Linked DNA regions of Mus musculus. The protein of the gene in region 3 interacts with the protein of the main gene of each other region in a biochemical or structural test. Links are inferred from orthologs where the notes say so. Each region holds a gene or a part of one and is shown on either strand. Other genes may lie near its edges.

Evidence for each region.
Region 1: the proteins of Grb2 (region 3) and Mapk9 form a complex in vitro, tested with the Homo sapiens proteins (2 studies listed by BioGRID). The link is inferred for Mus musculus from reciprocal best matches to the Homo sapiens genes GRB2 and MAPK9.
Region 2: the proteins of Grb2 (region 3) and Ptpra form a complex in vitro, tested with the Homo sapiens proteins (3 studies listed by BioGRID and IntAct). The link is inferred for Mus musculus from reciprocal best matches to the Homo sapiens genes GRB2 and PTPRA.

The regions. Positions count from the first base shown.
Region 1 is NC_000077.6:49,867,136-49,870,787, reverse strand, and holds part of Mapk9 (mitogen-activated protein kinase 9), read right to left. Parts: intron 1,617-3,652; coding exon 1,478-1,616; intron 1-1,477. UniProt on the Homo sapiens protein: Serine/threonine-protein kinase involved in various processes such as cell proliferation, differentiation, migration, transformation and programmed cell death.
Region 2 is NC_000068.7:130,540,734-130,544,385, forward strand, and holds part of Ptpra (receptor-type tyrosine-protein phosphatase alpha isoform 2 precursor), read left to right. Parts: intron 1-561; coding exon 562-697; intron 698-1,573; coding exon 1,574-1,723; intron 1,724-3,057; exon of another isoform or gene 3,058-3,336; coding exon 3,337-3,430; intron 3,431-3,627; exon of another isoform or gene 3,628-3,652. UniProt on the Homo sapiens protein: Tyrosine protein phosphatase which is involved in integrin-mediated focal adhesion formation.
Region 3 is NC_000077.6:115,643,527-115,646,705, forward strand, and holds the end of Grb2 (growth factor receptor-bound protein 2), read right to left. Parts: intron 2,429-3,179; coding exon 2,243-2,428; 3' UTR 519-2,242; downstream 1-518. UniProt on the Homo sapiens protein: Non-enzymatic adapter protein that plays a pivotal role in precisely regulated signaling cascades from cell surface receptors to cellular responses, including signaling transduction and gene expression.

The DNA.
Region 1 (3,652 bases), about 66 Mb from region 3:
ACACTGTGCTAAGCAAAACATACACTACTTTGGGCTCTGTCTCACCTGCTTGTAGGCTAAAGGACCAAACATTCCACAAAAGGCAAGTACACGCCATAGTCTCATGAAGTTTCCAGGAAGTAGGGGCATTCTCCTGCCCTCACCTCCGGCTCCAAGTAAGGGAAAACAGTCCCCTCAAAAATCAATACAGCTTGTAAATCTGGGAAGTTATCATAAAGCATACATTTCATTAAACGTGTATTGTAAGGCTGACGGCCATAGCTCAGTAGTAAAGCATTGCCTCCTATGAGCAGCATCTGAGGCTCCATCTCAGCACCACACAAAAAGCAACAGTTAAGAGACAATAAGAATGCCTACAGGAAGAGGGGCGAGGGTGGAGAGATGGCTCGGTGGTTAAGGGCACTGGCCGCTCTTCCAGAGGACCTTGTTTCAGGTCCCAACACTCACACGGTGGCTTACAACTATCTGGAACTCTAGTTCCAAGGGATCTGATGCCTTTTCCTGGCCTCCATTCATGCATGTGGTACACAGACATAAATGCAGACAAAACATCCATACATAAAATAAAAATAAATACACTTTTAAAAAGCCTTCTGCATGAGGGAAGAAAATAAGCATCATATTGTTGATGGAAAATTCAGTGTCCTAAATAAAACTAAAAAGTGGCCTCAGTTATTTGGAGGTCTGGGGGAATTTTTAGAAATAGAATGATTCATTAGGAATCTTAGTTACTATTTAAAAGTGAACTTTACCATCAGAAGGTCTATTGCTTGGAATGACCACTTGGTGGCAGCAAAGGCTACACTTTGAAAAACCTGGTTATGGGGGTGCACAAGGGAAGGGAAGCCAGCACAGGCCTTTGGCAACAGAGGCAGGAGGATCACTGAGTTTGAGGCCAGCCTGGTCTACAGAGTGAGTGCCAGGACAGCTGGGGCTACATAGAAAAAAAAAGTTACTACAAACTGGAAGGCTAAACCAGAAAACCAAGATTGTTCTGCAGTAGGGTGGCCCCCTACCTCTGTGTTTACAGTGGCTGAGGGGAAAAGCTGATCTGAACAGTGTTTTGTACACAGTATGACTCCACGGCTTAACCTGGACTCTCAAAGTACCAAACTTTAAAAAGAAGAAAAAGACGTTCTTAGGGTGGGGATGGATCAGGGAGTGAGCACAAGCACCAGGAACTGAACTCAAACCCCCGGCGGCCATGTGAAAGGCCAGGGTGCTTACACATGGAACTGGAAACCAGTGCTGGGGGTGTCGGAGAGGCGGAGTCAGGAGACCACCAGCCTCCCTCCAGGTTCAGGAAATAAGGCCAAAACTGACCTCGTGGCCTTTAAACACACATGAATAAGTGTGCACTCACACATGTGCACATACACCACACAAACACTCATACATAAAAACATTAAGTTCTTTTGTAACTAGATGACTGACGACCAAATGGTCCTTTTAAAAATACAGTTATGTGATTACTCACTCTATGAATGATACCAGCTGAATGCAGATGCTTGATGCCACAGAGCATCTGGTAGAGAAGGTAGGACATTCTCTCATGGTCCAGTTCCATATGAATAACCTGACATAAGTTAGCATCCATTAGTTCCATTACCAAGTACCTGAGTATTCAAAAAGAGACCAACCACACTCATTAGTAATATTTTTAAACATTCCTTCATGAGTCTTAGCTCACAATCATTATGAAGCAGTACCGACGGGGTATTAACACTGCATGCTGGAAGTAAAAGCACTTTTAATAAAGTAGCTTGAAAAGAATCAAATATATAATAGGAGTCTGTAAAATTACCCAAAGAATATACAAACAACTAACTTACTCATTGTTTTTCTGCCTTTCAAATTATAAACAGAACTTTTTTTTAACCATGGAAACAATCTCGTACAAACTTTTCTACTTTTATTAACCCATGTGTCTGTCTGTCTGTCCACCTATCTATCTTTTGTTAGATCATCCTTTCAACATCTATACCATGCTGCTGTAGATTCTTGCTCTTTAACAATACATGATTCTGGCAGGGCTGCTAATGTAGAGGGTTTATACAGCGGGTAAATGGAACTCTGAACTTTCCGAACAGGTTGGTTATGTATTTGGACTGCTATAAAAAATGAAACCTTTTTTTTTTTTCTGGTGATTTTTGGTGTTTTTTTTTTTTTTTTTTGGCTTTTTCAGACAGGACAGGGTTTCTCTGGGTAGCCCTGGCTGTCCTGGAACTCTCTGTAGACCAAGCTGGCCACAGACTCTGAGATCCCTCTCCTCTGCCTCCTGAGTGCTGGGATTAAAGGTATGTGCTACCATCCCCTAGGTGAAATCTGTCTTTTAAGGCTGACCATACAACTTTCAAGCTCACGGTCCACCAGCAGCATAATAGCCCCACCCCAAGCCCACAGAGGTGCTTAGACACATCATCTCTAACTCCCCTCCACTGCTTGTCATGACATTCTGACTCAGCATATGCCTAGTGTCTGCCCAAACTGATGACTTCCACATCTGCAGAGACCCAAAGGCCAGTGCTAAGAACTTGGCTGCTTTCTGTGCCTAATTGCTTCCTTTTGTTGGAGCGGCTGGAGTCAGATCCTGGCTCTCCTCTCACTGTTCCTGTCTTGGTGCTATCCAGGTTGCTGTGCCTTGAAGGACCATTTATAGATTATTCTTCCATTCCTTTAATCCAGGCCCCTCCTGAACACCAGGTTCTTTCCTCTCTACCCACTTCACTGTTCCACTTGGACAGTCAATAGTGTCTCTGAATTCATGTCTAAAACTACTTGTGAGTCTAGCTACTTAGCACCCCAAGTCTGGTCCTCTCATAGTTCTCCATATCTCAGCCAAAAGCCTTTATGTGTGGCTTTCAATTTCTCTCTCACATCTAGCATCGGCAGATGCTAGGCCTCACCCTCAGACAGTGTTGGTGTCTAATCTCAAGCCCTTCCCATTACCCACTTGAACCTCTCATATGAACTGCAGTGATTGCCTCCCCATACTAACTAGGCCTTTTTGTCCTACCTCTCACAGTGGATTCTCAGCCCCTCAAAACCAAGTGTTCTTTTAAAATATGTCAGGTAAGATCACTGCTATGTGGGAAATCTCACTCTGGCTTCCTTTCCTATATGCATGCTACTTCTCTAAGCCATACCCCCTTGTCACACATACCCAGCCACCCAGACCTCTGGGTAGCAGCACACACCAGCTAAGCTCCACTGCTGCTCGTTTACTCTGGCTACACCTTCCATGTCAATTCCACTCTGTCCCAGTATCTGCAGAACAAACCGCTCCTCCCCTAAGCCTTTCTCCTACTGCCTCACTGTGATCTTTCCCCATCTACCCTGTGACGAGGAATTGAAGTCAGCAACTTGACTAGGCCAAGGAATACTGCGCTGGCAGCCTTACGTGAGGGGTGTTTTGGAGGGTGTTTGGGTAGTAATTATTATGTGAGTCTGAATGCACTGAGTACAAAGCATAGAGCAAGATCCTGAATGAGCAAATCTAGAGAATGAAGGAGACTCTCCTCTGAGAGCTGAAACAGACTTTCATGTTTTGGAATCAGAATGCTAGGCCTTATATACTACAGCTCTGAGTCCTCAGGCTCACAGCCTTAGATTAAAAGCAACACCGCAGGCATCCTTGTTCTTTGGCACTGTG
Region 2 (3,652 bases), on a different chromosome or scaffold from region 3:
AGAAGACATGCATAGCTGGGACCCCAGGCAGCAGCCAGAAGGAATCCTCCAGCTCTGTTCTGAGGTGGAGAATATGACCGGGGAGTTAGGCAGCTTACTCTGGTTCTGAAATAACTATGAAGGAAGACTTGAGTCAGAGACTATGTCTTACCTCCAAAAGCTGCATTTGCAGTTATAGAAATTGTTCCCTGGCTCCCATTATTTTCAGTATATACCCCTGACAATGCATGAGATAAAATCATCTGCTCTTGCTATTATATTTATTGGCGTTAATGTACCTTTCTTCTTAGGAGGGCAGCCCTCCTTGGTCTGGAGTAGAGAGACCACACTGTGAAGCCAGTTGGCTGACTCAGTTCCCTTGACAACTTGAGACCCTTAAATATCAGGGTACCCAGGCTCTGATAACTAGAGACCAGGAACTCCTAGCTCAGTAGGATTGTTGACACTAGCTCAGTGTTCTGTCCCATTAGGAATTACAGTTTGTCTGCTTGGAGCCCCCTGAGCTGTGCACTCTGCCCTGCCTGCCCCTGAACGCACTAACCCCATGCTCTCTGGCTACAGTGCAGGTGTAGGGCGCACTGGCACCTTTGTTGTCATCGATGCCATGCTGGACATGATGCATTCGGAACGCAAAGTGGATGTATACGGGTTTGTGAGCCGGATCCGGGCCCAGCGCTGCCAGATGGTACAGACAGACGTGAGTGACCAGCGGGTGAGGCAGGGGAAAGGCTTTCTATTGCCAGGACGCCTGCCTGCTCTGAGGACTCCATTGTGCATGGGCATCATACAGTGTGTATGCACATGCATGGAACGCATGTGTTGATCAAAGGACAGATTACATGTTAGTTCCTTCCTTCTGCCATATACGTAAAGAAAGTAGGCATGGGGATTGGAGAGGTGGCTCAGTGGTTAAAAGCACTAGCTTTTCTTCTAGAATATCCAGGTTTAGTTCCCAGCAGCCACATGGAATGGAAGCTAACAACTATCTGTAACAGTGTCTCCAGTTCCAGGAGACACAACACCCTCTTGTAGCCTGTAGAAACTAGTATGCACATAGTATTTACACATACATACATGAGGCAAAACACTCATACACATAAAATAAATAAAAATCTTTTTAAAAGGAAATAGCGCATACAAGAGGTTGTAGCTCCGTGGCTGGGGGAAACAGAAAGGTGGCTGTTGTTTCTATTGGACCTTAAGGATAAGGGAACAGTTGGTATTGAATGCAAACGTGCTAGGGCCCACAGTCATGATGCTGCTAAGTCCAAGAGCAATAGTGAGACTCTGGGCACATCACAGACCCGGGATGGATCCAGGCTGGTCTGCCCTGCAGACCTTGCAGGCTCCAGACTTTGGTATCCGCCAGGCCAGAACCATGTCTCCCAACCTAACCGCCCCACCCTCAGGAGAACTCATGCATTTCAAGTGCTGCGTCACTGTATTGGGACAGTATGAATGACAAGTCTATCCCTGCTAAAATCAGAGGGAAAGTGCACTGAGTAAAGCTAGCCCTGGGAGTGATCTGGTGCCATGCTGTTGGTAACTGAGACCTCTGTGATCCACATTTCAGATGCAGTACGTCTTCATATACCAGGCCCTTCTGGAGCATTATCTGTATGGGGACACAGAACTGGAAGTGACTTCTCTAGAAACCCACCTACAAAAAATTTATAACAAGATCCCAGGGACGAGCAACAACGGGTTAGAGGAGGAGTTTAAGGTGAGTTGAAGCTGGACAGTGTCCAAACAGAAGGGACCACATGGTCTTAAAAAAAAAAAAAAAAAAAAGGATCTAGGAAAAATGCTAATTCTGTGAGAGCCATGGCCAGTGGTAGTTGAGTGTGTCCTGCGTGATAAAGTCACTTGAACTGTCTGTAAGGGAAGTGAATAGAAACAGTATTTCCTTACACCTCTCAGCACCCCTCGGTGATTCTCATGTTCAGCAGTGTAAAAGGCAGGCCATGCAGTATTCCAACAGCTCGATACTGCCGTTGTAACACAGAAGCGCCCAGAGACAAGGGAACCAATGGCTTAGGCTGTTATTTCCAGGTAATAGGCAATGTTGGGCCCATGAACCCTAGGTTGCCGACCACTACTGATGCGATTAGACAGTGACTTAACACTTAGGCCTGTGACTAGGGGGTTAACTTGGTGATAGAACGTATGCATAGCATGTGGCTGTGGCGTCAATCCCCAGAAGCCTTCTGCTCCCCCCAAGAGTAAACAGATAAAACCCATGTCATATTCTCATGGAGAAGTACTCCTAGAATCCAGGCATGGTAGTTCACCCCTGTAATCCCAGCATAGACAAGAGGATCTCTGAATTTGATGCCAGCAAGCTCCAAGGCAGCCAGAACTACATAGAAAGACCTATCTCAAAATACAAACAAACAAAAATGAAGTTCCCAAGCCTAAGCTGAGCCGAGGGCTACAGGCCAACAATTACAGCTATGTGGGAGTCTGGGGCAGGAAGATTACAAGACTATCTCAAAATCTAAGAAATGGAATCGAGCTGTGTGTGGTGGTGCACACCTTTATCCCAGCACTTGGGAGGCAGAGGCAGGTAGATTACTAAGAATTTGAGGCCAGCCTGGTCTACAGAGTAAGTTCCAGAACAGGGTGGGCTATGTAGAGAGGCCCTGTCTAAAAAGACAAGGCAGTGTGATGAGTGTGCTCTCAGGCGTGAGACAGGTGGTAAATGCGGAGACAGAGAGCCAATCACCTTAAAGCGTCCTTATTGCACTGCAGTGTATACTTGATTCGCTGGGATGCTGCACAAGCTTGACAACTCGAGTTTGGATGTCCAGCACCCTTATGAAAACTGCATGATGGGGTGTGCCCGTAACCCCACTATTGGGGAAACAGCCAGGAAAAGGGACAGACACTGGCCAATCAGCCAGCTAACTGCAACAGCAAACTCCAGGCTCTGTGAGAGGACCCTGTCTCAAAAAGTACGGTAGAGAGTATAGGTCACCAACCTCAACCTCTGGGCTCCACATGCATACATTAAGGAACATACCCAAGCAGACAAGGAAACAACCTCAGAACCAGGAAGAAAGAATAGAATTTGAATATTTTTCTAAATGGCAGAAAAGTGGCCCAGAAAATTCAGGGTTAGAGGAATCTCAGGAAGTTCCACAGGAGCCTAGAAGGTGTTGCTTCTCAAACATTCTTTTGACTCCTTACTAAACTTAAAGCCAGAAATGACATTTGGAAATGGAGCCGAGCACTGTAGGGAAGAAGGTCGGGGCCTGGAGGTGTGGTCTTAGTGAGTGGCGGGAGTCTCTCAGGTTCTTCACTGGGAGCAATAGTCACTCTTCTTTCTTCATTCAGAAATTAACTTCAATCAAAATCCAGAATGACAAGATGCGCACGGGAAACCTTCCAGCCAACATGAAGAAGAACCGGGTTTTACAGATCATTCCATGTAAGTTCTCCTCCCCTCCCCCAGGCTCACTGCTTCAGCCCCCAGTTCCCGCACACTCCAGCTCCTCGGGCCTTGCGATTGGCCTGAAGTCAAGAGTCACAGCACTGCCTCTGATTCTCTCAGTTCTTTAGTGGTTTCAGGAAATAAAAAGGCACAAAAGCCAAAGGAACATTGCTGTCTTTGCCCCACTGACTTACGAGCTTGATAAGAGGAGTGAGTGTT
Region 3 (3,179 bases):
CCAACTTTGTCTCACCCAAAAGACCACTGTCACGGCTGTGTCATGTAGCTGCCTCACCGACTTCCTCAGAGATTAGCCTTTCCACACCCTCAGCTCGGAAGGGAAGAGGAGCTTTCCAGCCCAGCTCTGGGTTCTTCTGAGTTCTTGTCTAAACCATTTTCCACATAATGAGCTACATCACTCGTCCTAGGTTCACAGGGTCTGGAGATGCCGGCCAGAGTTAACATACTCTAAGCCTTTACTTTCAACATTTGGGAGCAGAGGCAGGAGAATCTCTGCGAATTTGAGGCCAGCCAGGGCAACATAGTGAGACCCCATCTATAAAATAAAATCAGGACGGGCAGTGATCCCAGCACTTGGGAGGCTGAGATGGGCGGATTTCTGAGTTCAAGGTTACCCTGGTCTACAGAGTGAGTTCTGGGACAGCCAGGGCTACACAGAGAAACCCTGCCTTGAAAAAAATAAATAAATAAAAAAATAAACTGAAAACACCATCAGGGAGAAATGAAGACACACAGTTAAGAACTCATTGTACGTTTATTCACAGTTAATCACTACCTACCAAATTGCTGTCCGCAGAAGTCAGAGTAAGTACATAGTTGGTTTTTTTTTTTTTTTTATTTAAACACTGATCTTTAAATATATACACACAAAACTTAGTTCAGCAAGGCTTCATGATATACACCAATTCCAAAATAAAACAATCACATGGCCCAGGTGTGACTCCAGAGATTACTTTATCATCAGCAGGGAGAGCAGCAGCGGAACCAGGAGAGGTGGGGACCCAGAAGGCCGCCTCCGAGCCTTAGGGGCGCCCTGAGCTGAGTCCATCTCACAATGCTAAGTCCAGGGGAGACTCTACCCGCAAGAGTCTAGCAGCCCATGGATGCACCGACTCCAAGGGAAGGCCTGGGTGGAGCCCTGCTTCTGCTGTGGGAAGGAGGCAGGGTGGAGAGAACGGTGTGCAGGCACGTGACTACAGAGGACGGAAAACTCACAGAAGACAAGAGTTAAAAAGCTGTGCACTGGTCTTGGTCTCTCCTACCTCGAAAGGCTTTGTGGGATGGAGGGGTGGGGTGGGGGGAGGGGCAGCACAACCCACTGCCAAGAGAGATGCGGCCGACCCCACAATCCTGCTATCTGCACCCTTGGACAGGTGGGGAAATACGAGCGTGAAAAATGAAAGGCCAATTCTCTTCAAGCCCATCTGCATGTAGGCCTATAAGAGTGAAGGATGCCAGGGCTCCTCTGACCGTCTTGTGTTTGGATCAGTAGCTCCAGGCATAGAGAGAGCAGACCATAACTGAGACACGGAGACAGAGACTCTGATGTCCACTGAGTCTGAGCTGAAGCGAGTGTTGCAGCTCACAAAGTAAAAGCTGAGGCTTCGAGACCTCCGGCCCATTCAAGATGGGAAATACACTCTCTGCTTCTACCAGCTCCTTTCTCTGTCCTCTTTCCCCTGCCCTGAGAGGAAAATATTTACACAGGATAGGAGACGAATCAACTGAAAAGCTCTGGACTGTCTTTAACTTATTAAAAAAAAAAATGGTACAAATACCATTTATGAACACCCTTGAAATAAGACAAAGGCACTATTTAAAAAAAACAAACAAACAAACAAAAAAACGTCAAAACACCTGAAGGGAAGCAGTGGGAGAGGGGAGGGCCTGCAGTCTGACTCTCAGGAGACCGGGGAGGACAGTGGGCCTCCTTCCCCTAATTCCAACTTTGATGGAATGCTCCAGGCCTGAGGCTGGAGGCGGTACCCCTGGGCATCTCGGGTGAACCCCAACCAGGGCCCCAGAAGCACTGGCTGCCCCTGTGTGTGAGGAATCCGGCTCTTTCAGTCCATCCATCTCCACAGACATTTTGCATAGAGAAAATACCAGCCCACTTGGTTTCTTGTCTTTTATTATTGGCATCAGCTGGACTATATGTGGCCTTAAACATCATGCACTGGACAGGAAAGAAAGAACGAGAAAAAGGACACAGGAGGGGAACAGGGGTAGCGGCGAGATTCCGTAATAAAAACTGTAATTCATTCAATAGGTTAAGTTTTGGCATTATGAAATCAAACACCCCTCCCCACCCCCCAAAGTTGCAACCCAATGAGAGGGTCACCCGTGGGACCCAGCCAGGTGTTCTGCGTTCCCTCACAGGCTGTGACAGGCAGCGTGTGGGTGTAATTCTTGTGAACGGTCTTAACTTTTCACTTTCTTTAAATAATCTCTTTTGCTTCTTAGACGTTCCGGTTCACTGGGGTGACATAATTGCGGGGAAACATGCCGGTCTGCCCGTGGCAGGCCCCTTTCCACCAATTGGGATCTGAGTTATCCATGACATGAATGAAGTCTCCTCTGCGAAAGCCCAGCTCGCCATCCTCCTGGGGGTCAAAGTCAAAGAGCGCCTGGACGTAGGTTGGCTGCTGCAAGAGAGAGCAGGGAAGCGGTGTTTCTCATGCTGCCAGGCGGCCTTGGAAGCTGGACTCCTGGCTCCCCCAGGGAGGGCAAGCATGTGGGAACCCGCCCACTTTCCAAAGAAGCCTCATACCTCACTCCCTCCGCTCTGACACACTCCTAAGTCCTAGGTGGGATTAGAGGAATCCTTTATTAACATTTAAAACCCACAAGGGTATATATACCCATGTCACTAAGAATAGCCAATACTGGCTAGTGGGGAGCAGCAAACACTTTGGGCTGTGTGTGCCAGAGCTCTCTTAACAGGTTTTTTTTTTTTTTTTTAAAAAAAAAGATTTTATTTATTGTTATATGTAAGTACACTGTAGCTGTCTTCAGACACACCAGAAGAGGGCATCAGATCTCATTACAGATGGTTGTGAGCCACCATGTGGTTGCTGGGATTTGATCTCAGGACCTTTGGAAGAACAGTCAGTGCTCTTACCCGCTGAGCCATCTCTCCAGCCCCTCTTAACAGGTTTGAACACACTCTCAGCATTCCCTCACTCGGGCTGTAAACGAGGCAGTCCTAACCAGAACTCCTGCTCATACGTGAGGAGGACTGAGTGCATCCCTCACAGGCTGGCTGCACAGGGACTCAACCACCTGAGTGCCAACTGCAGAGCCTCACTGCCATGAGGTCGGCCTGAGCACACAGGAAGTCGCTGTGGTGTCACGCCTGGGCCTTCACACTTGCTGGAAGTGAGTAAAGCTCTTTGC